Linked DNA regions of Cricetulus griseus. The protein of the gene in region 7 purifies or fractionates together with the protein of the main gene of each other region. This does not show direct contact. Links are inferred from orthologs where the notes say so. Each region holds a gene or a part of one and is shown on either strand. Other genes may lie near its edges. The genes, in order: Twf1, Cracd, Tnks1bp1, Svil, Kiaa1671, Cnot1 and Capza2.

Evidence for each region.
Region 1: the proteins of Capza2 (region 7) and Twf1 purify together in Homo sapiens (affinity purification with mass spectrometry; 3 studies listed by BioGRID and IntAct, with this or other methods). This does not show direct contact. The link is inferred for Cricetulus griseus from reciprocal best matches to the Homo sapiens genes CAPZA2 and TWF1.
Region 2: the proteins of Capza2 (region 7) and Cracd purify together in Homo sapiens (affinity purification with mass spectrometry; 3 studies listed by BioGRID and IntAct, counting the BioPlex papers as one, with this or other methods). This does not show direct contact. The link is inferred for Cricetulus griseus from reciprocal best matches to the Homo sapiens genes CAPZA2 and CRACD.
Region 3: the proteins of Capza2 (region 7) and Tnks1bp1 purify together in Homo sapiens (affinity purification with mass spectrometry; 4 studies listed by BioGRID and IntAct, counting the BioPlex papers as one, with this or other methods). This does not show direct contact. The link is inferred for Cricetulus griseus from reciprocal best matches to the Homo sapiens genes CAPZA2 and TNKS1BP1.
Region 4: the proteins of Capza2 (region 7) and Svil purify together in Homo sapiens (affinity purification with mass spectrometry; 3 studies listed by BioGRID and IntAct, counting the BioPlex papers as one, with this or other methods). This does not show direct contact. The link is inferred for Cricetulus griseus from reciprocal best matches to the Homo sapiens genes CAPZA2 and SVIL.
Region 5: the proteins of Capza2 (region 7) and Kiaa1671 purify together in Homo sapiens (affinity purification with mass spectrometry; 3 studies listed by BioGRID and IntAct, counting the BioPlex papers as one, with this or other methods). This does not show direct contact. The link is inferred for Cricetulus griseus from reciprocal best matches to the Homo sapiens genes CAPZA2 and KIAA1671.
Region 6: the proteins of Capza2 (region 7) and Cnot1 purify together in Homo sapiens (affinity purification with mass spectrometry; 3 studies listed by BioGRID and IntAct, counting the BioPlex papers as one, with this or other methods). This does not show direct contact. The link is inferred for Cricetulus griseus from reciprocal best matches to the Homo sapiens genes CAPZA2 and CNOT1.

What each region holds. Positions count from the first base shown.
Region 1 is NC_048595.1:391,074,365-391,078,331, forward strand, and holds the start of Twf1 (twinfilin-1), read right to left. Parts: upstream 2,801-3,967; 5' UTR 2,669-2,800; coding exon 2,644-2,668; intron 1,269-2,643; coding exon 1,191-1,268; intron 1-1,190. UniProt on the Homo sapiens protein: Actin-binding protein involved in motile and morphological processes. Inhibits actin polymerization, likely by sequestering G-actin. By capping the barbed ends of filaments, it also regulates motility.
Region 2 is NW_023276807.1:143,290,549-143,294,048, forward strand, and holds part of Cracd (capping protein inhibiting regulator of actin dynamics), read left to right. Parts: coding exon 1-2,371; intron 2,372-3,500. UniProt on the Homo sapiens protein: Involved in epithelial cell integrity by acting on the maintenance of the actin cytoskeleton. Positively regulates the actin polymerization, by inhibiting the interaction of actin-capping proteins with actin.
Region 3 is NC_048599.1:90,486,593-90,490,704, reverse strand, and holds the start of Tnks1bp1 (182 kDa tankyrase-1-binding protein), read left to right. Parts: upstream 1-1,312; 5' UTR 1,313-1,444; intron 1,445-1,954; exon of another isoform or gene 1,955-2,338; intron 2,339-3,714; exon of another isoform or gene 3,715-3,867; intron 3,868-4,112. Other genes in the region: FACT complex subunit SSRP1, read left to right, coding at 1-37.
Region 4 is NC_048596.1:209,309,419-209,312,918, reverse strand, and holds part of Svil (supervillin), read left to right. Parts: intron 1-990; coding exon 991-1,860; intron 1,861-2,208; coding exon 2,209-2,373; intron 2,374-2,989; coding exon 2,990-3,024; intron 3,025-3,500.
Region 5 is NC_048597.1:92,814,329-92,818,537, reverse strand, and holds the start of Kiaa1671 (uncharacterized protein KIAA1671 homolog), read left to right. Parts: upstream 1-1,409; coding exon 1,410-2,926; intron 2,927-4,209.
Region 6 is NC_048596.1:171,908,708-171,912,207, reverse strand, and holds part of Cnot1 (CCR4-NOT transcription complex subunit 1), read left to right. Parts: intron 1-475; exon of another isoform or gene 476-719; intron 720-888; exon of another isoform or gene 889-2,122; intron 2,123-2,960; coding exon 2,961-3,093; intron 3,094-3,500.
Region 7 is NW_023276806.1:208,890,533-208,894,032, forward strand, and holds part of Capza2 (F-actin-capping protein subunit alpha-2), read right to left. Parts: intron 817-3,500; coding exon 610-816; intron 1-609. UniProt on the Homo sapiens protein: F-actin-capping proteins bind in a Ca(2+)-independent manner to the fast growing ends of actin filaments (barbed end) thereby blocking the exchange of subunits at these ends.

The DNA.
Region 1 (3,967 bases), on a different chromosome or scaffold from region 7:
AACAATATGCAGTTTATGTAAACTTAAAAACTCAGAACTGCATTGTATGCTAGGCAGGCATTTAGGTAAAGGGAATAGTTCATATACATATAAAACTTTAAACTGCAGCTACCCCGTGGGAAAAAAAAAAGAAGTGCAGCAGTCAAAAGATGTTTTACATCAGAAAAACAGTAACATTTAAAAAATTAAATTTGGAGAAAAAATTAAAAAATATAAAAAATTAAATTTGGCTTGGAGCAAACTATAAAGTACCAAGTCATTAATTTAAGAGGTAGGTATTTATTTTTTTCTTCTCTGAAATTTCCTAATTTGACATTTTTCTAAGATTAAAAAAAAAACTGGAAAATATTTAGGAAATAAAAATTTTCTATCTGAAGAAGTGCTAATTAGGTACATTTCATCTTCCCATTTTGTTTACTAACTAGTCATTTAGGAAGTAATGACATTCAATGAAGTAGACAATCGTTCCTATTGAATATTGTAAGATTTTTCTAAACTATTTTCACTTTTAATAGGTGGAAAAATGAAAACTAAAGTTGATTTATTTCCAGTTCATGAAAGACAAGTTATTTTTCCAAAACAAAAGTCTCGAGGGTATTTGAGAAGGCCAAGGGGATGATTTTAGCACATTCATTTTGATAAAAAACTATCAAGAGTGACTTCAAATTCATCCAATTCTGATCTGATATGGCCACTCACACAGTTTTCCCAATCACACAATTACTGTTAAGGAGCCTGTTGTTAGAATGTTTCCAAACAAGAAATAGCAATACTCTCTTTACTCTAGGGCCCAATCAGATCCCCCCCCCAAAAAAAAAACCAAAATAAAAAAAAAACCCATTGAAATATTTTTAAATCAAAACATACTTTACTGAATTAACTCACAAATAATTAGTTTTGTTTGTTTTAAAGTAGCTCCTAGTTACCGATTTCCATTCTGGAAGAGGAAGCACTAATATTAGAAGTGGATTATAACGCAGAAGGATACACAAAAGATGAAGCTATCACAGCAGAAACCATCTGGAGTTTCCTCAATAGCTACACAATTTAAAAGGAAAACATGCTGAAAGGCAAAAATCTAAACTTGTTTCATGCTGATTGATAGTTAAAATTACTAATAACACTTGGAAACCTGAAACTGTAACAGCAAATACTCAACTGGCACATAGTATCTTAAAATGTTAACTAACCATTTTCAATAGATATTTTCAGAAGCCTGTATTTCCCGTTTCTGGCTCTGGCAAAGATCTCTTTAACATCTTCACTTGCTGTGGAAAATGACACAGAAAAATAAACCCATTTTTAACTTAAAAGTACTTTATTTTGCTCTTTACACAAAACAAAGAAAAATGTGGAGTATATAGCACTTTCTTACTGTTATTATAAAAGGCACACAGAGTTTGGGCATTGAATATTACTAAAAAAATAAATACTAACATTTTTAAAGTAAATGAACTCAACATTTTGGTTACAGAATTCTATAGCAGAAGTAACACTGTGAATACTTTTAGTCAAACCCAATAATGGACAAATTACTTCATGTTTGAAAACCTTGAAAGTTGCTTTTACAGTCCAGTTTTAAGTTTGTGACAGCACCTTCATTTCCTGTTATCTGTCCATCAAAAACAATAGGATCAAGTCTCATATTCTGATTAAAAGAAAAGCGTGTAAAATGCACTAGATCTTCCGGTGTTTACATTTTTTTGTATCTCTCAAAAGGCTATAGTAGTCACTGAGCATATAAACATTTAATAACCTATCCCTTGTGTACTCAATTTTGTCCTTGTGTTGCTGATTCCCAGCAAGACGACTATTTAGGTCTTGCTATATAAAAGGCTCAAACATCAAACTTAATAATTTTGACAAATTTAAATGTCAAAACTTACACGGAAAAAAAGACAAATGTTTTTCGGCATGAAACTATTTTTGCCTGGGTGTGTATAGAAGAAAGGTGTCAAAAACCCTGAAGCACAAAACAAGTTATTAACTGGTCACCTAAGGGGAAAGACTCAGTTGACTATTACAGGAAGTGCTCTAGTTTATGCTAGCATTCGTTAAATAACTCCGGGATATATTATTTGATCCTGAGGAGGCGAGTACTTCCAAGTTGCCTGTTTTCAAACCAGGAAATAATGGAGGGTTAAGGGATACAACTAATTGCACACTGAACTGTCTCCACGGGGTGATTAGTTGCAGACACACAGACCAGACTTCGGCTGCCTGGGGAGCATCCAAAGATGGAAAAACACTTCCTCAGGATTTCACCGAGAGGAAAGCACGCTCCCGTTCAGAGAGAACAGGAGTAGGGGAGGCAGCCTACAGCTGTGGGATTTGTTTGTTTTTCAAATGAGTGCTGGGACAATCTCCTCGGCAGGGGGTACCGAGGAAAGTCGCTCGGAGCCAGGCCAGCCTCGGGTCTTCCTGCTCCAGGATCGGGGGCCCGGGAGGCGGCAGGTCGGGCCCCATACCGATCCACACTTGTCGGCTCTCCCGCAGCCACTGCCTGTTAACGTGGCGGCGGCCGGGAAGGGCCGCCAGGGACACGGTCGGGGCCGTCGCACCCAGAGCCGCTCCAAAGCCGTCCGCGCCTCCAGCGCTCGGGCCCGCCGCCTCCCGGGAGCCCCTGCCCCGTGGCGCCGTTACCTTGGATGCCTGTCTGGTGGGACATGGTGGCGGCCGCAGGTTCCCGGCTCCGGCGCAGGGTGCGGCAGCGGCACCGGCCGGCGGATCCAGGAAGTAGCGGGTCCGCCTGCGCGTCATCTGCCCGCGACCCTCCGCCCCGCCTCCCAGCACCAGCTGCCTTCGCCTGCCGGGCATAGGCCCGCCCACATCCCCACCTCCTTCCCTTTCACTGGCTTCTCTCTGTTGTCGTCACAGTCCCCGCCCCTCCAGCCTCTGGTCACGCCTTTTCCGTCACTGGCCCCACCCCTCGCTCCCGGCCCTCTGCTGCTGTGCTTAACAAGGCAGCACCCTATGGCGACGTGTTGCGACCCATACCAAAAAACTAATCTTAGAGGAGAAATAACCATTTCCCCAAGCGTACGTTTTCTAAGTAAAAAACATGCCCTTTGTTGTAAGGAAAAGGCCCCTTTAAGTCCACAGATAAAACAGTTTAGCACAGCATAAGTAAGATGGGGTTCAAGACCACTTCTGGCCTATTTTAAAATATGAGAGTATAGAATCCTCCATCATTTCCCTCGTGATTTGAATTTAAAGCTGTTCACTTTTTAATTGGTCACTCACACAAAACCACAGTTCTCACCTCAAAGAGAAAACGGTAGTTTATTCTGAAACCAAATATGCAGGTTGTGTGTGTGTGTGTGTGTGTGTGTGTGTGTGTGTGTGTGTGTGTGTGTGTGTGTGGCGAGCGCGCCATCCCCTAGTATCATGTTCCAACTTGGTAACAGTTGTATGAATTCTTTTTTGCAGTAGCAGAACAAAAGAAATCATAAATCAATGCATCTTTAAAATTATATTTGGTGGGGACATGGGTTCAGATATTAGCTGATGACATTTTTAACCTTTAAGCTAAGTCGTCTGACCATCATAAAAGGATTTCCCTAATGGTTCCAAAGATGGATGTTAGGTAAGACATGGAAGTGGTCAGTCCAAGATAATCTGGCTTGGGACCTACAACACCACAGTCCTACACAATCAGGTAGTTCTAAACAGTCAGGCAACCTTTTGAGGCTTTAGCAGGTGTGGGGTGGCTTTCTTCCTGGGAATTTCAGTTCACAGCACCTTAAGAGATCTCATTGTCCTTTATCAGATTCCTCAGACCTGAGTATAAAGTCACTGAAGCACTGAGCTGACCTCTGTGAAAACCACTGAAAACCATCAATAGGACTTTGCTTCAGGTTAGCCCTTTGTTGTTTCAAATCAAATGTATATTCATAATTACCCAGAATAAATTTGTATGGAAACAGCAGATAGTAGCTAAAATTCTTTCTCACTTTAGGCTATTATT
Region 2 (3,500 bases), on a different chromosome or scaffold from region 7:
CTGGAAGAGGAACTGAGGCAGCGTGAGGCCGAGAGACAGGCAGAGAAACTGAGGCAGGAAGAGGAGCTGAGGCAGCTCGAGGCTCAGAGGCAGGAAGAGGAGCTGAGGCAGCTCGAGGCTCAGAGGCAGGAAGAAGAGCTAAGGCAGCTCGAAGCCCAGAGGCAGGAAGAGGAGCTGAGGAAGCTGGAGGCCCAGAATCAGGAGGAGAAACTGAGGCAGCTCGAAGTCCAGAGGCAGGAAGAGGAGCTGAGGAAGCTGGAGGCCCAGAAGCAGGAGGAGACACTGAGGCAGCTCGAGGCCCAGAGGCAGCATGCTCAGGAGGAGGAGGAGGCCAGGAGGATGATGCTGGAGCTGAGGCAGGAGGAAGAGTTGGAAGCCGACCACATAGAAGAGCTGAAAGGGCAGGCAATGCAGGCGCCAGGGCCGCAGGTGGACGAAGGCCCCCAGAGTCCAGAAGGAGAGAGCCAGCCTCGGCTATCGGACGACTCTGATCAGCAAAGCCCACTGCAGCGGGACCTTGAGAAGCCAGAGGAACAAGAAAACCTGGAATCCGTGGGGCAGAAAGAGATGGCCCAGGAGCAGAAGGAAGAAGCCAATGCGGGCAGCGAGCCAGCAGGGCAGAGGGGAGACTTGAGCATGGAGTGTGGGGGTGTAGACGTGGAAGAGAGAGAAGCCACTCAGATAGACAACCCCCGGCCTCAAGAGGAGCAGATTGGCGGAACGCCGGCCTCAGAGGACAAGAACGAAGCTGTCCCTGCAGATAAAGACCGAAAGGTGGAGGAGCTCCGGTGGCAGGAGGTGGACGAACGGCAGACCATGCCCCGGCCCTACACGTTCCAGGTGTCCTCCGGGGGTAGGCAGATTCTCTTCCCCAAAGTCAACCTGAGTCCGGTGACTCCCGCCAAGGACACGAGCTCGGCCCCAGTGACCCAGGAACCGCCGGTGCCTCGCGGTGCCGCCCCACACGCCCTGCCCTCTGCGCTAAGCATCCCGCACACAGCCATTCTGGTCACTGGAGCGCAGCTCTGCGGCCCGGCGGTCAACCTGAGCCAGATCAAGGACACGGCGTGCAAGTCCCTCCTGGGCCTGTCAGAAGAAAAGCGGCCGGTGGACGTTCCCACAGTGGAGGTCAGGTCCAGCGGCAGCAAGGCCAGGCCTCCCCCGGAGTCGCCGAGCAATGCCGCGGCGCTAGCCGAGTGGGCTTCCATTCGATCCAGGATCCTGAAGAATGCGGAGGGTGACCAGCGTGGCGACAGAGAGCCGGTCAGAGCCGGGGACGAGCCCGCTCCCCGAGTGCGGTGCGATTCCCGAGGGAACCTGCGCAGGACGCCGCCAGTCAATGCCAAGTTCTCCATCATGCCGGCCTGGCAGAAATTCTCAGACGGCGGCGCGGAGACCTTCAAACAGAGCCTGGACGGTGAAAGCGTAAGGAAAAAGCTGGGCCCAGCACCGGGTGAAGAGACAACACCCCAGCCTCCGCCTGCTGCGGCTCCGGAGCCTCGGAAGAGCATGGAGAAGCAAGAGGTGAGCCAGGAGCCACCAGACACCACTGACGGATGCAAATTTGCCAAAGACCTTCCATCTTTCCTCGTGCCGGGCCTGCCTTCTCCGCAGAAAGCTGCTTCCCGCACAGGGTCCACGACCACTTTGGACAGCGAGACCACGAGTGAAATAGGAAAGCCAGACCCTGTGGTGCCAGGAGGTGAGGAAAAGGTCTCGCCCTTCGGTATAAAACTGAGAAGGACCAACTACTCCTTGCGCTTCCAGTGTGACCAGCAGGCTGAACAGAAGAAGAAGAAAAGGCACAGCAGCACCGGAGACACTGTGGATGGTGGCACCCCCGCAGCCGGAAGCGACCCTGGAGACAAAGAACCCGCAGCGGTGGCCCTCAAGCATGGCACATCCCTTCCCCAGGAGAAAAAGCTAGCCCCTCGGAGGGACTCTGCCGAAAGCCCTTCTAGGGGTCACTCTGTTGCTGCAGCCCAGTTAGGGCTACCACCAGCCAGCAGCCAGACCCTAGTTCCAGAGCAGGACAAGGCAGTAAGCAAAACACCACCAATACAGAAGCCGGCCCTGGCTCCCAAGCCCACCAGCCAGACTCCACCATCATCCCCACTCTCCAAACTGAGCAGACCCTACTTGGTAGAGCTGCTTGCTAGGCGGCCTGGGAAGGTGGATTCCGAGCCAAACGAGGCTTGCAAGGAGAGCCGGGAGAGCAGTGATAACCAGCCGTCCTCACCAGCACTGCCAGAGGAGCCGAAGGGGCCAAAGAGGGATGAGGAAGAGGTGCCTGAAAAGAAACCGGCTTCCCCACCTCTGTCATCCAGCCAGCAAGAGAGACCTTCACTAACTTCTGAAACAGGTAGAAAAGGTATGTGGCTGCGGATCACACCGGGTAACCAGCTTCTTTCGGTGGAGAGGGAATTGAGAGAGAGCCCAGGGAACTGGCTCTGGGAACATCTTAATTAGAAACAAGTTGGCCCCAAATCAGTTCTTCTACACTTTAACATCCTTTGGATTGAAATGTAGCCCCAGTTAACACAGATATCTTTAACCATTTTGAGCAAGTCTGTAGAGGTGATCAAAAGTAGAGTTTTCTAGACCGGAAACTGCCTTCCCTCTGGGTGGCTGCTGCAGAACAGAGAGAGGAAGGTCCTGGCATCAGCCTTGGAACTGTGGAGTTTCTTCGCTGTTATGTAAAATGAGCTTAACATCCTCTCAGTTCTGCAGACTTCCCGTAGTGGCAGCACTTGGGAGGCAGGAACAGGTGATCTCTGAGTTCTAGGCCAGCCTGGTTTAGAGCCAGAGTTCCAGGACAGCCAGGGATGCACAGAGAAACCCTGTCTTGAGAAAAGAAGAGAGGGAGGAAAGAAGGAGGGAGGGAAGGAAAGAAGGAAAGGAAGGAAGGAAGGAAGGAAGGAAGGAAGGAAGGAAGGAAGGTTAGTCAGAGCAACCCTTGGCTCTGACTGCCTCTTCATACTGAACATTTGAGGTGGCTAGATGGAGATCTGAACTGGCTTTTGTGCTTCCATGGAATGTTCACCTAATCTTTCTAGAGACAAAGTTTGGATCATGGCCAGGAAGGTTCTCTTTTTAAGTGTTCAGATTTGGGGTGGGTTTTGCTTCCTTGAGAAGTGTTGGCTTGGTTACTTCTTTTCCTTTATGGAAGCCCCTAGAGTACTGCGGTGAGTGTGACATGCCAGAAACCATAGATGGGCATGGTTATGTCTTTCTGCAATGTCAGAATTGATCAAATAACAGTAAATTCACAAGCTATAACAGTTTTATTGTTAGCCGTTTGCCAAGCAACCTCTGTTTTCCTTGGCCATTGGCAAACCAAGTTCTCTTAGTCCAGTTACTAATATTAAATCTCATATCGCACACCACATACAGTAAAAACGCACATGCACCCAAACATGTTATGGAATGCCGGCAAAGTGTTAAGCCTCAGCAAGGCTCAAGAAATCCAAAGAGGCCTTATTGGAGGCAGGGAGCTGATA
Region 3 (4,112 bases), on a different chromosome or scaffold from region 7:
AAGCTCAGAGGACTCTGCCTCAGGATCTGATGAGTAGAGGAAGAAAATTCTTGTCCTTGCCCTGTCACATCTCCAGGCTTTCTACATAGTTCTTGGACTCTGTGCCATCTGAGTAACTGCTCCTGGTGGCTTCCACTTCTCTGAGGCAGGCATCAAGGGAAACATCTAACCTCAGCTGCTTTGCAAGAATGGCTCCTTGTAATCTGGGGAAAGACTGGGTAGGAGTGCATTCTGTCTGCTCACAGTGCGTTGAAGGATCTAAGTCCTCGGCTCACTTGCCCGACTGTAGGGATAAAGCTGCTTCCTGTCTTATTCAAGTGGCTGCATCAGGGGTCATGTGAAGTCAGGCCTGTAGCTCCTAATAGGGGCCTATTTCTACTTTTATTTTGTATTTCTGGTCTGTGAAGTCAATTTAATAAATGGAACTGACTTTGGAAACCATGTCCTTATGTCTCCTTTCCCACTTTACATGTGGTGTTTACCCTTCTATCCGGACTCTGCAGGGCCCTCCTGCCCAGCTGGGAAGCAAGTCTTGAAGCACATCCTGTCCTTCCTGGCTGGACAAGCATTGGTTTTCACCCTTGTCTGTGAACAATGCCACCTGAGAGTCAAGAAATGAGTGCTGATCTGATTAGGAAGCCTCTCAGAGTTCCACTCCATTAGCCAGCACAGGGGTGGGAGTCGGAGGGGGCGGGGTTCTCAGCTCCATCCTTAATCACTTTAGGAGACAAGGGTCTTATAAGGCTTGAGGTAATAGAATGAGGATCGACTTTCTAGTGCAGGGAGTGGAAACCTGAGTCAGGAGGATGAGTAGTGTGTGAGTGAAGTTAAGTGTGTGAAGGGAGGGCTACAAAATTTCATGTTTGGGAAGTGTATCTAAGAGAGCTCTTAAACAGATAACACGAGGGAAAAAGCTACTCCACTTTCTACTGTGGCTTTCAATCTGAATTTATACACGACGGGTGGCCACGTCGCTTGCGCTCCCAGGAAGACTCAGGTGTAACAGGAAGCCTGTTCAGTCCGCCAGCGGTTCCCTTCGTGCTGCCCGCGCTCTATGGTGCTGTAATCAGTGTAGGCTTAGGGAAAGCAGTCCAGAGCGGTTTCCTCTCTAGGCAGTCATCTCGGTGGCGCTGGGGTAAAATTGCGTCAGTTTCGCCTAAGTCTGAATCAGGACCGGCTCCTCATTTACAAGGTCATGAATAATTATGTGCGAGCTGTGCTTGTTTGCATCTCGTGGGCCGGACTCTGTTTCAGCTTCGGCTTCCCTCTCACGGATTCTTATATGAATATTCATGAACGGCATGGAGGCGTGTCCCTGGGCGGGGCTATGGGAGGGGCCCCGGGGCTTGCACTGGCTCGGTCCCGCGGTGACGGTGGCGGCAGCGGCAGCAGCGGTCACTGGCGTCGGGGTGCCTAGCCGAACGGAGCCCGTCCCGGGGAGCGCGTGAGTGTGCGGCGACGGCCGGAGGGGGCGGGGTCCGGGGATGGGGGCGGGGAAGGGCATGGAAAGAACCGGGCGCCTAGCAGTCCCGACCTCAGATTGGGGCGGCGGCGATGGTGGTGGGGGGGTCACTAGGAAAGTTTGCGAGGGCCTGGGGACGCGGGGGCGCTGCGGAGCTGGAGCGTGTGTGCGGGGGTGGAGAGCACTCGTGCCGGGAGCCAGAAGAAAGCGGGGAGAGGCGAGGGTGGGGCGGGGCCGGGCCGGGGGCGGGCGGAGCTACTCGAGGGACCCCCCCCTCCTGCCTTCACCGGCCCTCTTCCTCAACTCTCATGGCACGCCCCCAGCCACCCCAGGCCGCCCTCACAGTCCTCCTCGCCAGTCCTCGGTCTGTTCCTTCGCGGGCTGCTTGGCATCTCTCACTGTCCCCGCTGCTGCCGCCCCCTCCTCCTCCACCCTCATCTGCTCCTCCTCTTCGCCTGGCCGCTCGATGTCCGTAAGCTCCCCACGGAGGCCCTCCAAACAGCCCCTTGCCCTGGGCTGTTCCGCCTTCCTGTTGGCCCTCCCTCTTCCAACACTTAACCCTCCTGGTCGCACTAGTCGCACATTCAGCAGGAGACCTTTAGGGACGACCCTGCCGGCCCTTAGGGTGCCTGCCTGCCCAGGACTGAGGCTGCCTAGTGCCTTCCCATCCTTTGGGGGCAGCCTTTACTCCCAAGGCTGTCTGGTTTCCCTAGACCATTAAGGGTGCGGAGTTCTTGAGGCACTGCGATTCTGCAGCTTGAGGCCATGGCCTTGGTTTCCTGGGGCTCCTGGCTGGGGCCTCTCTACTGTAGCCACCTCCTCTGTCTTCATCTCTGCAGCCCCTTATAACCTCAGAGGTGTCCATCAAGCCCACAGGTGAGAGGATTTTTTTTTCTAGACTAGTTTTTCTTCATTTCTAACCACCCACACCATATCCCTTGTAATAATGTTCAAGGACAAGGAAGCAATCTTGTGTATTTTTAATTTTATTTTTTCCTGTCACCCCCTCCCCCCCCACACACGTTATTCTCCCACGCACAGCCCGTGGTAATTGGCTGATCAGAGATTGACATTGTCACAGTTTCTCTCCATACCCTCTTCGAAATAAGCTGGGACAGGGTCAAGGGGATGGGGATGCCTTTTGCAAAGACTGGGCACCACAGGTCGTTTTTAGCATTGAGAGCTATCTTCTCAGACCAGTTGGAGTGGGAAAGGGACTTTGAGGTTGCAACACAGTGAGGGTTGGGTTGCCCCTCCAGGGTTGTGTGCATTCCGTGTGTTAGGCAGCTTCTCCCTTGCTTTTGAACCTCAGGGGCAGTGCTTGCTATTCATCAGGTAGCAGAGCCTGAGGGGGCCTTGTGGGTGGGAGGGTGCATCAGCACCCAGGGTGGGAACTGAGGAGGTGGAGTGCCTGAAGAACTGATGACTTGGGGTCATGAAGGACTGGTCTAGGAATGCAGCCTAGGGTAGGGGGAGAGTTATAGGTGGTTACCAAGGATGTTAGTTAGCTCATTAGTGACTCCGAATGTAGTCACATTAATAGTGGCCAACTGTTACTTATCACTTCCATGCTTGGTATTTTGCATGCATTATTTGGCTTGAAACTCAAGTCTTAATACCCCATTTTTCAGATAGGGAAAAGTCACACAGCTTTAAAATGGTAGACCCACTTAGCTGTTAAATCTGTTAATATCAGATTCAGAAGCTCATGTGACAGGCTACTACTATGTGGCTGTCATCTGGTTTAATTTCTTCTGGTCCCTCAAAACTCCTTCTGGCCGTTTCCAGGCTAGTGATCCACACATATTCCTATTTCACAGTCTATGCAGGTCCCTCCCTGACTGTCCTGGAAGGCTGGACCCTGAGGAGTTTTCCTCCAAGTCAAGCCTCCCACCCCCACCCCCCGCCCCCCAATCAAGTCCAGTCTGTCCTCTCCCTGCCCATCCTGGGCCGGCTCCTCCTTCCCTTTGGCTAGGCCCTGGAAATCCAGTGGGAGGCCATTGCTATGGTAACAGGACTAGGCCCTGGCTTTACCTCATCAAATTCCAAGCTGAAGCCAAAACGATTGAGAAATTAAAGGAAAAAAATGTATTCCAGATGTTTACTTTTTATTTCTTATTTCCCCGTGTTTGGATGAGACAGCTCTGAGAGAAGGAGGAGGGGGCAGGGATGTGAAAGGAGAATGGGGAGAAGGGGGTAGGGAGCCACTCCCAGCCCATAGAGGGAGGGAGGAGACTGGGAAGGGGGGGGCGGCAGTGGGGCGGAGCCCCAGGTCGGGGAGGAGCGGGTTTTTCCCGTCTCCCATGAGGTGATTCCCGAGACTTGAGACTTTCCGGCCCTCTTACCCCGCCTGGAGTGGATACCTCTAGTGGGGCTGCCTGACCAAGAAGGGTGTCTTGGGAACTGTAAGTAGGGTGTCACAGGAGGGTGCTTGGGGATGTTGTGAGTGAGGTGGCTCTCATGCTCCAGATCTCTGAGGTTCAGAGCCAAGAGTTGGAGAGTTGTAGCAAGGATGTGGCTGTGGGGTCCTTCCCCACCCCGCCTGTGGGGACCTCCCCGACCTCCTCCTGGAGTTCTCTCTTCCTGTCCCACACAGCCTGGGTTAGAAATAGACTTCCTTGGCTAAGCCTGTTGACTCGCCCAGCTCTTT
Region 4 (3,500 bases), on a different chromosome or scaffold from region 7:
AGCCTCCTTACCTTGTGGCATGAGTCTTTTCTTCCCCTGTGGTGGAGACCAAATACAGGGCCTCATGCATGCTAGGCAGCACCCTCCCCTCCCACCCACCCTACTGTTTACATTTTAAAGGTAGAGAGTACTGAGTTCTGGGAAGGGCAGGTAAGGTCCCCCAGGGTTAGCCGGCTTCTGCAGAGATGGGAACAGTCAGTAACTTTTGACATCATTTTCAGTTTTGCTGTCAAATATTTAAAAATCAGAAACAACGAAAAACAAACCCTCCTTAAGTTGGTTTTTAATTAAGGTGCAGCATCAATGGGAGAGAGCTAAGGCCTCATGATTCTCTTAACAAATGCCTTCTTCCTAACATTCCTGTGGTGGTGTGGTCATGAGTAATGACATCCAAACTGACCATGTCTTGGGTTCAGATGACATAGTCAGCTTAGCCTCCAAAGTCTGCGACGAGTATGTGTGTAGTGCTTCGAGAGGTAACTAAGCAATGAAGCTCAGTTGGAAACGTAAGTAATCACAAATGCCCACCTATCCACTGGGCAGTGAAGTGGCTGTCTCCCCGAAGAATATATGTTTCCTTGGCACAGCCAGCCACCCGCAACAGCCACACCTGGGTCTGGACTTGTACAGGGTCCTGAACTAGGCATTGCCTCCTGTACACTAATGCTTACAGTGATGTGTATGAATGAAGTCTCCCGGGGCGGCTAAGTATTTCATTAGAATAAGCCGATTCAGTGAATGGGCTTATTCTAATGTGACTCTCAGTTTAACTGGGCAGGGAGACTTTGGGGCCACACTAGAATATGAATGCAGATTTGGAGATTTCACTTCATTTAACTGGCAAGCACTAGGTGTCTGTGTTCAGTGCCCAAATGCATTTCCACATGTTGCTCTTTCTGCATTGGCTCCAAGGCCATCCGTGTTCTGTGCATGCTCCCTTCCCCTTCGGTGATTTACACACCACAACATAAATCCTATTTTTTTCTTAAGAGTTAAAGTTAGAGAAAAATTGGTGAAAGAGGAGAGTGCTCCAAGCAGCCCTGAACTCACCTCAGAGTCCTTAACTCAGAGGAGGCAACAGCCAGGACCTGCGCATTTCCTGTCTATCCAGTCAGAAAGCTCTGCCTTCAATAGGGTCACCAGCAAGGTAGTGAGCTCACTACGGCCAAGCCGGAGCTGTGTCCTTCCAGCTGACCCTGTTCATGCCATCAAGCTGGTGACCGTGGATACCCCAGAAAGCACATCTGAATGCAGCTGGGTGGAGTCAACCACCCCAAATGTCATAAAATCTACTACCTTGAAGATTCTAGAAGGTGGGTCGAGGAATGCTCCAGGACTGCGTATCTGTGAATCAAAAGCAAAAGATGTGCTTGCCCCTGAAACTCCGGAGAGGAGCCCCAAATCACTCTTGACCTCGGAAGATGACAGCCTGGTGAGAGGCCACGAAGATCCCTCTGGTAATGAAGATTTAGATGAGTCCACCATTCACTCCATCGCCGTAGAACCTGAGAGGGAGCGGCGAATTCAACAGCAGCCCACTCAGAGAACTGACCGGAGTGCAATGGTTCTGTATGTTCAGAGTGGTCCTGTGTCCCAAGATGCCACATTGACCAGTCACACAAAAGAGGCCTCTCCAAAGAAGCGCAAGGTCCTGGCCCGCTCCCTGTCGGATTACACAGGTCCCCCTCAGCTCCAGGCCCCCAGACACAAGGATGTAGCCCCAAACCAGGAGCTGGAGCTGCGGAGTTCCAGGGCAGAAGGGCCTGGTGCAGAAGCCAGCATGCTGGACACCAGAGTCTCCGTTGCCCAGCTCCGAAATGTGTTTCTGGAGTCAGCCAGAGCCAGCAAGAAACCTGAACTGTAGGTGATGTTCCCAGCATCCTTCCGATATGTCACTTGCACGTCTTTGGCAGACGGTTCACTTCTCCACCCATGGTGTGTCCTGTTAGCTTAGCTCACAAGTGTGTGCAGGGCAGAATGTACAAGAAATGGCTCACACACTACCATTCTGCTTCTGCCTACTAATTGGGATCTAGAGGAGTGGGTCTCTGGAATGTTCCACCTGCAGATGCGATGCGCATGGTAGCAGCATGTAGAACCTAGCGCTCTGTGTCTTCCACTGAGATGCATAAGCCTTTCCTCTGTTCTCTCTCTCTCTCCCTCTCTCCCTCTCCCTGTTTTGCACTCACTGCCCTGTGGTCCTAAAAGCCAATCCCGAGTTGAGAGATCAGCTGAAGGAATTGGCTTGCCCACGGAACGGGAGAGAGGGTCTCGGAAACCAAGACGCTATCTTTCTCCTGGTGAAAGCAGAAAAACTTCTGAGCGATTTAGAACTCAACCTATAACTTCAGCAGAGCGAAAGGAGTCGGATAGGTAGGCACGTGTGTGTACTTCCAGCAATTCAAACACGGGGTTCTCAATACCCTGGTGGGCCTGATGCTGTTTGCATAGGATTCCAGGATTATTCCATCTCAGCTGTAAGGATACTTTTATTTATGGAATTGTATTTCCAAAGAATGTTGCTTTTTATACCTGATATCCCCTATAGGTGTGAACTGCCCGCAGATCAGGTGAGGAGAAACACTTTTCTTCAGTCAGTGCTTCTCATTTTTTGTGCTTTCATTAAACCAGGGTTTGAACTGAGCATCTGCCATTGGGCATAAGGGATTTTGTATTCATCTTATAAACAGCTTACTTTTTATATTTACATTTTTGTATGATGCCATCATATGTTAATGTATAGAAACCATAAGGTTCACCAGAAATGTGCACTTAGTCCCACGTAATAACTTCTTGTCAGTACTACTTTTTCTCCACAAGTGTGCACCAGGCTGGGGTTGTGTGTACACGCTCCACAGTGTCAGCTAACAACTGTTTGTAGTCCGAGACAACTCTTTAAGATAGTTCACTTGCATTGTGTTTCATGTTTCATGTGTAGCTTGTGTGCCCACCACTAACCATCACCATTATCTGTTTCTGTTTTTCCTAGGTACCCTTCGGGTTCAGAGGTGCCAATGGTTGAGGGCAAGTATCTCTTTTCTTTTTATTCTTCCACATCATGTCCAAATTAGATTTAAGACCTAAAATTTGGGGCTTTGGGGGAGATAAAACTGGAGCCTATCAGGTTCTTGCTTTCTTCCAAATTGCCTTGCTATGAACCCTAGGTGAAATTTCAGATAAGCCTTCCCTTAGCTTTTGGTAGAAGTTAAGAGGCTTCTTCAGTGAGCAATACAAAACAGCCACTGTGACTAAAGAAGCAGATTTCACTGGTGACTGCAAGGCAGTCTGTTCCTAAGGTCCCTCCTTATATCCTCTTAGTCAGACTATTACAATAAACATCACCCTTCTGGACACAGTTTGGTTTGAATTGCGATGAGAACGCATGAGCTCTTCATGAAGGGAGACTTCCCATTTGTGAAGTCAGTTCACCTTCTCTTGGATTCGAGGGCTCGCCAGGTCAGTCTTGAAAAGCATTTCAGAGAGGAAGCCTGTGCTTTCAA
Region 5 (4,209 bases), on a different chromosome or scaffold from region 7:
TCCCAAATCTCCATTCTGCTCCCAGCTGAGTGGAGACCATATTCTCAGTGGAATCTGTTAGTCCATGGGGTGTGTAATGAGGAGAAAAATGCCAAATCTGTCTGCTTTCATTCCCTGCAGTGAAGGAGCCACACAAGGCCTGGGAGGTCCTTGGTTAATCAGGACACTGTCTCCCTTCTGATCACCTGGAGAAGCTGGGCCATATCTGGGGTAGTTAGGAAGGGCCGGCTATCATAGCCGAAGCAGGGAGGGTCAAGAGCAGGGAGACTCTTAGGATTCTTTGAGGATTAGAGACAAGCTAGAAAAGCTGTATTTTACAGAGGCAGGGCTGAAACTCAACAGTGTGGCTCTCACCTGTAATCACAGCACCTGGTGGGTGGAGGGAGGACACTGGGGAGCTCAGGGTCAATCTTGGCTAGGTAGCGAATTCGAGGTCAGCCAAACAACAACAAAAAAGACCAGGCATAATGGGCCAGGACGGGAGGCCTGGTTCTAGCTGAGTGAAACCAATTGGGGACTTCTCTGGGCCTATTTTCTTCTACCATCCCCACCTCTCTGAGCTGCTGGAGGATTCAGGTGCTCCTGCCTGAGGGCAGATCTCAAAGCTGAGCAAGTCAGGCTAGTGGCATCCAGGCCACTGGGAAGTGAGACCCTGCCTGCAGGGAGGATGTGGTACATGGGTAGAGTAGCAGATGCACTTGGCGTTGCTAGGCCTCTCAACAATAAGCCCTCATCCTAGCCACGACTCTAAGGGGCTGGGTCTGGTGCAGCATGGAGAATGTGCAGCATGCATGAAGCCCTGGGTTCAGTTCTCACCACTGCAAAACCAACAACCAAAACAAACAAGGAAGCCGGCATAAACAGTTGTTCAACAGCAAAACCAATAGCAAACAGAAAACAGTCGGTTGAGTGAAAATAAAACAAAACAAAACTCCCAAGGACTTTGTTTTTTATTAGCACTTGGGGAGATGGGGAGAGGCAGCTGGCAGGGTTCCGTGGCCCCTCACTATCAGAATTTCCAGAGCCTCCTGCTTTGCGTGGCTGTGTGAGTCGAGGATGGTTATTTACTCTCTCTCTGCTGGGTAATCATCCTGGGTTTGCTGGAGCTGCCTCCAGACTGGCTGAGCCAGGTAAGGCCTCAGACCACAGGGCTTTGCCTGACTTCTCTGAACAGAAGGTCACTGTCTGTGCCTTTCCAGGGCCCAGCAGGATGGCTGTGCATCTGGAGCTTGCCCGGTGAGATTAGGATCTGGGGCTCTGGGGCTAAGGTCTCTGGGTCTCATTACCCCAGACCCTCACTCTGAGTCCTACAAATACGCTTTGCTAAATTTACTGTTTAAAATTTTTTTTTAAGCAGTTGCTTCCTCGTTTCTGGTGTGCTTAATCCTCATGGAGCTACATCCGTAACCATGGTGACGAGGGTCGAAGTTGGCTCTATCGCATCCCTGAGGGCGGGGCCGGGCCTTGGTGACATCAGCAGGGAGGAAGCCCTGAAGAGGACCTACTTTTGCCAGACTGGGGACGTCCCTGGGGCTCCCTCCACTAGGCTCCTAAGAGCTAAAAGCCCCCTACGGACCCACCTGTTCCCTCTGCCCATTGCTCCTAAACCTTTTCTTAAGGAGCAGGTCCTTGAGAAGAAGGCTCCTGGTACCACCCAGTCCTGTCCTTCAGCTGAGACCGACAAGAAGGAGGCCAAAGAGGTCCTGGCCAGAAGGATGCCGAGCTTAGCTGGTCAGGAGGCAGACAGTGGGGAGACCCTGCAGAATGGCCCGTCTGTACCTAACAAGGCCACGTTCCTGAGGTCTGGCCCCAGTACCATGGGCTTCTTTGAAACGACCAAAGCTGGACCCAGCCTGGGCAAAGGAACCAGTGAGAGGAGCCTGGAGTCTAGCTCCCGAGCAGCCCAGGTATCTCCCTTAAGTGCCAGGCCTGAGGTGGCTGCCAAGCCTGCCCTCCCTACTCGAAAGCCCCCAGTGACTCTGCCCCGACCAACCTCCCTGTCACAGGATGCTGGGTCTGCTGTATCCCAGGAGGAGGCAGGCCGAGCCCAACCTTTGCCAAAGGCCCACAGTGTGGAGGACCCCGCTGGCCAGGCTCCAGAGGCCAAGCCTCACCCCAAGAGACGGCCCATGTCAGCAGTGTTCAGCGACTACCTGCAGCCCCCCAAACCAGGCCCAGGTGGAGTGGCAGTCATGGGCAAAGTTCCCCCTACACCTCCGGAGAAGACATGGGTGAGGAAACCCAGGCCTCTGTCTATGGACCTGACGGCTGCGTTTGAGAGCAGAGAGACGTTGCTGAGGAAGGTGGCCGGTGAGCAGACTGTAACAGAGCCCCAGGGCCCAGAGAGGACCAGCATGGAGCGCAGGGCTGATGTAGAGGGTCCTGCCTGCATGAACACCACCCCTCAGGACCCAGATTCAGACTTCCAGGAGGTGGCCAAGAGGCTCCATGCACGGAGGGAGAAGGTTCTTCTTAAGCAGACAGATACAAACAGTCCCAGGACTCCAAGGGCCAGGGTCATCCCTGGAGATGATCAGAGTCTCCAGGTTGAGGAAAAGCCAGATCAGCAGTCAGAGAAGGTGCTGGAGCCCCCTTTGCTCAGGCCAGGAAGAGGCCTGGGGCTGGCCCAGGTCAAGGGTGGAGTGTCTGACCAGGAGGCTCCTGCAGGGATGGAGAGGAAGTCTGCCAGGAGCATCAGGAAGCGCCTCAGCCTGTTTGAGGAAGGCAGTGCTGCAGCCTTGGCAGTGGTGTCCGAGCCCTCGCCTGTGACCCCGGAGTCCCAGTCCACAATGCCAGAGCCTGAGAGAGCTGGTGTGAATGTTCAGGCTCTGATCAAAGGCTGGACTGTGGAGAGGGCAGGGACGAAGCCGGAGGTCAGGAGAAGGGCATCACAGGGGCAGTCGTTGCCTGCAGATTTGACCAAACCGTAAGTGGACACATTCCAGAACCTCGCTCAGCCTCAGGCTGCCTCGATACCCACTGACGAGCCCAAGGCTAGCCCAATAACTACATACAAGCTCAAGGCTAGCCCAACACCCACACACCTATTCCACCACTGCCCTGAGGGGAGGTGAGAATGGTAATGATTGCTCTCAGACAGAGGTGAGAAGAGGGTCTGGACATCCCTAGCGCTGGGCTCAGTTGGTACTCACCATGGGGGCACAGTGGGAAATGAGGTGAGAAGGTGAGGTGCTGTAGTGAAGCTGGATCAGTTCCAGCTCAGCCTGGTTCCGTGGCTAAGCTGTCCCCAGGGTCAGACTGCCTTTTAGATTAGAGGAGCAGGGATAGCGTGTGTCTCAGTGACAGAGTACCCACTCAGCATATGCAAGGCTCTGGGTTATATCCCTAGCATCTCCCTCTCTCTGTCTGTCTGTCTGTCTGTCTGTCTGTCTGTCTGTCTGTCTCTCTCTCTCTCTCACACACACACACACACACACCCACACACACACTCCCTCTCTCATTCTCTCTCTCACTGGTTTATATGTTGGGAGATTTTTGGAAGAGATATTCACAAGTTCTCTTTCTCTCTCACACACGCTCTTCATCTCTCTCTTTCTCTCTCTCTCTCACATATACACACACACTTTCTCTCTCTCTGTCTCACACACACATACACACATATAGAGATTAGGCCTCAACATCCATGAATATATTGAAAAATAAAGCCAACATCCTAGATGACCAGGGCCACTGTCTAATGTAGCCCAGGCTGTCTCAAATTCTCTAGGTAGCTTAGGATAACCTTGAACTCCATGTCCTCTTGATTCTGCCTCCATAGATCTGGGACTAGAACCAAAATTCCACCAGGACCTTCCATCAGATAAGAGAGAAACTCTGAAGGGATGTGGGCAGTGTCCTCACAGAGGAGCCCTCAGCCTGGTAGCCCTCAGTGCACAGAGTCATCAACTGAGGTCATTGCCAACACTTAGAGTACCACACAACACCTCCCACACCTCCAGCCTTGTTGTTTTCCACTGTGGCCGAAGCAGGGAGATGTTACAAGGCGGGATCCACCCTCCTCAGTACTCTACATGCTTCCACGAGGGTGAACTCAAGGCCCTGGTAGCTGGTGCAGCCAGGGACCAACGTGAATTCTTTGGGTCCAGGGAATGAAACCCAAGTCATCAGACTTGGCAACAAATGCCTTTACCCCCTGAGCCATCTCACAACACGCCTCAGGGGGTGCTGGTTCACTGGTTTATATGTTAG
Region 6 (3,500 bases), on a different chromosome or scaffold from region 7:
CTTTACAACTACAAAATGATTTCACACTGGGAGAGTGTGGGAACATTGAATTCATTTCAACATAGACTCTGTAGCATCTATCTGTTTTATCCTCTAAACGGAAGAATTTGCCCCAAACCAACAACAGTGTCCACCACAGAGGAAGCCCATGGGAAAATCAGGGAGGACAGAAAAGATGGAAACATAATTCACCCACTTCTCTATTACATTTCCCCGAATCCTCTTTGACTCCTAGTCCCGTCTAACTTAATGTCTCATTGGCCAAACAGTATTTTATTTAACAATCAATAAAATAAATATACACAGAACATTCCCCATCACGCTTCCCCTGCTAGGAAAAAATAAAACAATTCCTAAAACTGTACCTTAAAAATACTTTGACGTTTTAAGCAGTTAATTCGTATCCCAGACCTGAACAGTGGAACACAGAAGCTCCCTGAAATCAGCCCCAAGTAAATATGGCCATGAGCAGACATCATCCTGCGTATACCTGAGGCTGCAAGGGGTGGGCGGGGGGTGTCATTCTCTACATTTTCAGAGTCAATGGCTGCTAATGGTTGGTTTGGGGGCTTAATCTCAAGTGGGTATTTCTCAGCAGTGTCTTGAACTTCCTTGGCAATTCTGTCCATCCAGTCTATTAAGTCTTTTTCAAGTTTCTTAGCTTCATTCATGATCCTTTCCTGACGTTCATTCAACTGAGACAGGAGGTCCAAGTTCTTTTTTGGTTTTTCAAAACAGGGTTTCTCTGTGTGGCTTTGGAGCCTATCCTGGCACACGCTCTGGAGACCAGGCTGGCCTCGAACTCACAGAGATCCGCCTGCCTCTGCCTCCCGAGTGCTGGGATTAAAGGTGTGAGCCACCAACACCCGTCCAGAGGTCCAAGTTCTTATACATTTGCTTCACACCTAAGCAGGCTTCGGGGGACCAGGTCTCAGACTCCTGCTTCCTTGGGGAAGTCTGGTCGGACATGTATCGGTCAAAATTCTCCTGACTTAAATTCAAAGACTGAGCCTCTAATTTCTCAATGAAAGCCACAGCACAGCACAGGTTGGTGAAATAGTAGCCATCTTTGCCAGTCATAAGCCGGCTGGGTTTGCAGAAGCGAGTGGTGTACTGGATGTTGGACTGCAGCCGAGGTGGGGGTTGCCCTTCAGGAGGATGTAGATGAGGGTGGGCAGGAAGTCATCAGCTGAGGCTGGCTCATTCTTGGTCATCTGATGGCATTGAAGATGTGCTTGCTGCACGTGATGATGCAGGCTAGCTTGTCCCGAGGCACACGCTTGAGTCCATCTCAATGATGTCTGTGATCGCTTTCACCACCATGTCAGACACGTCAGGGATTTCCTCATTGACAGGGACACAGAGCATCTGAGGTGTCACCCAGTGCAAAGCCCTGATCCTCTTTTGAATGGCAAGCTCTTTTTTCTCATTATCAGTAGTCTCTGGGCAGAACACAAATTTATAGAGACGGGTCATAATGTGCTTTTCCATCTAATCCATTATCTGGAGGCACTTTTCCACGAGTCTGCATTCTTTCAGCCACATTCTGGTATAAGTCCTGAGTACATTCTGACTGTTCCTCAATGCTTAAATCCCTTTTGTAATGCATTGCTTCCAAGAACATCTTCATCTGTTTATAGATTTCTTGGCCTGTCTGTGTCTTGAGAAAGTCTATGAACTCTTTAGTTATTCTATCCGTCTCAATGCTGATTTGCCTGTTTATGGAGGGTCTGGGAGCTTTGGCTTCCTGAATGTCTGCCTTCTTGGATCCAACCCTGGAAGAGGCATTGAAGAACTTCTTCACTGTGGTGACCTTGTGGGTCTTCTCATTGGTTTTCTTTTCCTCAAACTTGGAGAAAGTGAGGGACTGGGCTCCTTGGCTGCTCTGACTGCTAGCAAAGGCCTCTTCCTCTTCCCGCTGGCCTTTCTGCTAGCTCCCAGTCAGTCCTCTTGGATCTGCTTCTGGTGGGCCTTGTGGTACTCCTCCCTCTAGCACTTAGAATAGAAACCCTGCCAGGCAGGGGTGCCCGTAGTAACTACATCCTTTCTTGCATAGGAGCTCAGATTGAGCCACATGAATTTCCCAGCGTTCAGACTTCAGGCTCATCTTTCTGGTCCGCCCCTCCTCCGGCATCCGACAGCCGCTCCCAGCGCCACTTCAGTCACTCTGCTCCTCGCCCCACCCCTCCACAGCAGTTTTCTAAGTGCTAGATGAAATAGAATGTTTTAGCTGGTTGGATGGTGAGACAGTGCTGAACTAGGTCTCCACTATTGAGACATTAAAGGAAATCTGTAGAATGTAAAATGGTAGCCCTCCCTCCCTCTTAATTTATGTATTTGCATTGTTGTTTGCCTACACGAGCATCTGTGAAGGGTGTTCTATTCCCTGGAACAGGAGTTTACAGACAATTGTTAACTGCTGTGTGGGTGCTGGGAATTGAGCCCAGGTCCTCTGGAAGAGCAGTCAATGCTCTTAAACCACTGAGCCATCTCTCCAGCCCCTTAAGAATTTCAGTAAAACATTTTTATTAACAGGTTAAGCACAGTCTTTTTATAAAAACAAGTATGTAAGGCTGGATGGTGGTGGGTGCATGACTCCTGAATTCTCTTGGATCTACAGAATTCCAGGACAGCCAAGACTACACAGATAAACCCTGTCTCAAAAAACAAAAGACAAAAACAAGTGTGTAAGAGTTTCGCTAATTCATAACATGGAAAGTTTTGCAAATAAAACCTACAGAAGCAAAAACAGTGGGATCCAGAGAACCACTAGTAAACCACAGAATTAGAATAACCTTCACAGATTTTCATGTCATCCTTGCACAAGGCCATGCTGATTTTCTTATTTGTGTGGTTAAAAGTGAGTTCCCTGGTATATCAGTCCCCTTCAGAAACAGAACATTTGTCTCCCATATTGGCCTTTCAGAGTAAACCCAAAATCTCATTTCCTTCATTTTTAGGCCGGTATCTTTTCTTAAATGCAATTGCAAACCAGCTGCGGTACCCAAACAGCCACACTCACTACTTCAGCTGCACCATGCTGTACCTTTTTGCTGAGGCAAACACTGAGGCAATCCAGGAACAGATCACAAGGTAAGAGATCATTGTCAAGATGCCTTAAAAGGGCACTATGGACTTCCCTTTAAGGTTTTAAGGAGGAGAAACTAGGAGCAAACTGTTTTCTGTTGTTTAATATGCATATGGTACATAGTACAGTGAGGTACACATACCTTAAAGATTTTAATGTATGTTAGGTGTGGTGGCACACCCCTTTAATCCCAGCACTCGGGAGGCAGACAGATCTCTGAGTTCCAGGATAGCCAGTGCTACACAAAGAAACCCTCAATAAAACAAAAAAGATTTAATTTACCTGTTCACCTCAATAAATACTAGTGCCCATTGTTCTCAGATGTTCACAACATCTGAACTGTTGTGTTTAATGCATGCTTGGATGACAAAGTACCATTTTGTTTGTAATTATGTCTAAAGCTGCAACAAAG
Region 7 (3,500 bases):
AAGGATTTGTGATAGGTAGGGTTTTAGTTGTGTGTGTGTGTGTGGGGGGGGCGCGGTAGGGGAGGACGGGAGGGAGAAGGGAACGGGGATTGTCATGTAAAACAATCTTGTTTCTAATTCAAATAAAAAAAAGTTGAAAAAAAAAAAAAAAAAAGATCACTATGACTTTGGAGAAGACCAAATTCTGGTGAAGAGTCTATCTGGATACAAACAATCCTAGGGGGAAAAAAAAATTTCCTACTCTAATTCATTTTGAAAAAAATAGACATAGGTTAAATCAATGAACAAGTAACATTAAAACAACGGGAAATAAAACTATAAAATACTTGAAATAATTATCTTATTTGTTCTAAGATTTCTGTAACTGAATTAAAGCTAATTCAAGCTAAATAGATGAAACATGGACAAAAGACTAAAAATAGCATCACCATTTTCTTGTGTCAGTCAACCTTTTGGAGATAGAATATATTTCTAGAAAGGTAAACACTGTTTGAAGAAAGAACTTTGGAAGCTATGGCTGCTGTACACATTGCTTTAAATTTCAGGGGATTATACAGACTGCCACAGATGTGTAAGAAACAAAGGAAGAACTGCCCACTGGTGACTCACCGTGCAGACCCCGTTCGGATAATGCTCTTTTACATAAGCTCGCAGTGCAGTCTCTACTGAAGTTCTCCAGGATTCAATAGCATTCTCTGCTTCGTATGGCCTTGGATCAGTTGCTTCCTTTCTTAAATGATCAAATTTGAAACAGATTCTGTTTTTTGGATCCAAAAACTTTCCATTTCCCAAGTCTCCATGTTCTGTTATCAACACCTTAAATTTTCAAATGAATTTAGGGAAAATATATTAACATGGATGCACAGTAACAGACACTTGTTTAAGCCCCACAAGGACACCAGAGATATTCTTAATTAGTGTGCATTAGAGTTTCTTCCAGTACAGTTTCTGGATACTAAATGGGAAACTGACTATCCAGCCCTCTATCTATCCCCTACCCACACAATGAGCCACAGTTTACTATTTCTGACAACCAAGACCCTGCCAATCTGACAGTTTTAATACAGTGAGGCAGCTCTTCAATCCTGCTTTGTTTGGTACCCAGTCTTCTCTGTTCCCCAGCATGTGCTTCTGTTTCTTATAAACTAATCACCATTAGTAGTTTCTAAAACTTTAAAACAAAATTTATACATTTATGTACATTTAAGAAATATATGAACAACCCTTTTATTTTGTGTCTTACTTAAAACACACACACACACATACCCCCCTTTTCTCCTGTAGCTGTCCTAGTCTGTAAGTACTGACCCAGGACAAGACTTTCCCATCCCTCTGATGTAAATCATGCTGACAACATAGGATGTAGCTTTTCTAAAATTTTTGTGGTAATAAATGCCACATTAGATAAATATGTACACCTATCTATCTACATATCTGCAGACACACACGGTTTGTGGGCCACTGTTTTCAAAGAATGATAAAAATGCATATACAAACATACATTTTTATGACAACTTGTTGGGCTGGCTCAGACCTTTAGCTTAAGATGAAAAGTACCGAAGACATAAAGATGGGTGACCATATGAGACCCAACCTCAATGGGGATAAGGAAACTGAACATTCTACACTTCCTCAGAAGTCTGCTGATCCCTTGTCTCAACAAAACTTGATCACAGACAGTCTCCTATCATCTTAATGGCCAGAGGAAAACCCACCCCCAAAACCTGATGCAGTTCCTTTGCCTATAACAGTTCCTTTTACTTAATGTTTTCCTGCAACATTCCTGCCCAATTAAAAGCACTCCATAAAGCCCCAAACTCCTTTTTGGCAATGCTACGTTCCCTTCTCTTGGGAACAGCGTGTCTTCATCTGAATAAATCTTTGCCTTTCGGACAAGACATGGCTCTGGTGGTCTTGTTCTCTTGTTAAGCCACACATACCTAGATTTTTTTTCTCAACACAAACCATCTACAGAAATCTCTTAAAGGCTACCAGCTATCTCTCACCATTCTCTTTAATGGTTGCCAAATATGCCATGGTGTTAATATAATTCAATCCACCAATCCATTAGTGGTGTCATGTCTTTATTTCCAAGCGTTTTACTTTCTAGAGAAAGGCAAAGCACCATTAAAAATGGTGAAGTATTATTGTAAATCCTTAACACTGTTCTTATTTACAATGGATTCTTTTTAAGCTTTATGTTTTTAAAATTTATCCATTTATTTGAGGTTGTTTGACACAGGTTGTGGTTGTTTGAGACAGGGTTTCTCTGTGTAACCAACCCTGGCTGTCCTGCAACTCACTATGTAGATCAGGATGGCTTGAACTCAAGAGATTCTCCTGCCTCTGCCTCTCCAAGTGCTGGGATTAAAGGTGTGCTGCACCACCACCACCACCACCCCCGCCCCCAGCTAACTTTTTAAACTTTAATTGACATATAGCAATTATGTCAGAGGACAGTTTTGCTTTGTTTTTTGTTCTTTTAGAGACAGGGCTTCTCTGTGTTAACAGCTGTCTTGAACTTGCTTTGTAGACCATGGTGGCCTCGAACTAAAGAGATCCGATAGCCTCTGCCTCCTGAGGGCTGGGATTAAAGCTGTGCACCACCATGCCAGGCTTAGAGGACAGCTTTTAAGAGCCAGGTCACTTATTCCACTGTGGGTTCCAGGAGTCAAAATCTGGTCATCAGGCTTACACAGCCAAGTGCTTTTACCCACTAAGCCATCTTATTGGTCCTTATTTGTTACTATGCTTAAATTTTTTAAAACTATAGTCATGTGTGGAATTAGTATACATCACTTTTTAAGAAATTTTTTGGTCTGAAGTATTGAAATTATGCCAGCTTGTTAAATGACTTCAGAAACCATTAAACATTTTAAAAAGACGTATTCTCTAATTCTGCTAGAGATTTATCTAAAGAAAACCATTGTCAATGTTACCAGGAATACAAAGACAATCAATGTAGTATTGCTTGCAATGGTAACCAATTAAAAAAAAAAAATCAAAAGACCAAAATCTCTGGAGAAATGAAGTAACAAGTATACATATATATCTTTAAAAATATATTTTAAATTATGTGTATGTATGTTCGTGTAGCTGCTCATGTGAGTGTAGATGCTCATGAAGAAGAAGTTATAGACAATTGTTACTCAAGTGGTTGCTGGGAACCAAACTTGGGTCATCTGTAAGAGTAGCTAGTCCTCTTAACTACTGAGCTCTCTAATGTCAAACGTGTCATACGTGTATATTTTCCCTTTAGTTACAAACTGCCTAGTCTTACAGTTCTTCCCTTAAACTTTTATTACACAGTAATGCCAAGTACAAGCAACCAAAGACTTCAAGACCTACAGATTTAAAGCAATTATTTTATAGGAACCTTATTACTTTATGTTTTTGAAAGCATGGTTATTCAATGTAGCTCAGGCTATCTTGGTACTCATTATGTAACTAAAGCTGTCATCTAATTAATGGCAATTCTGCTGTCTCAGCCTCATAAAAGC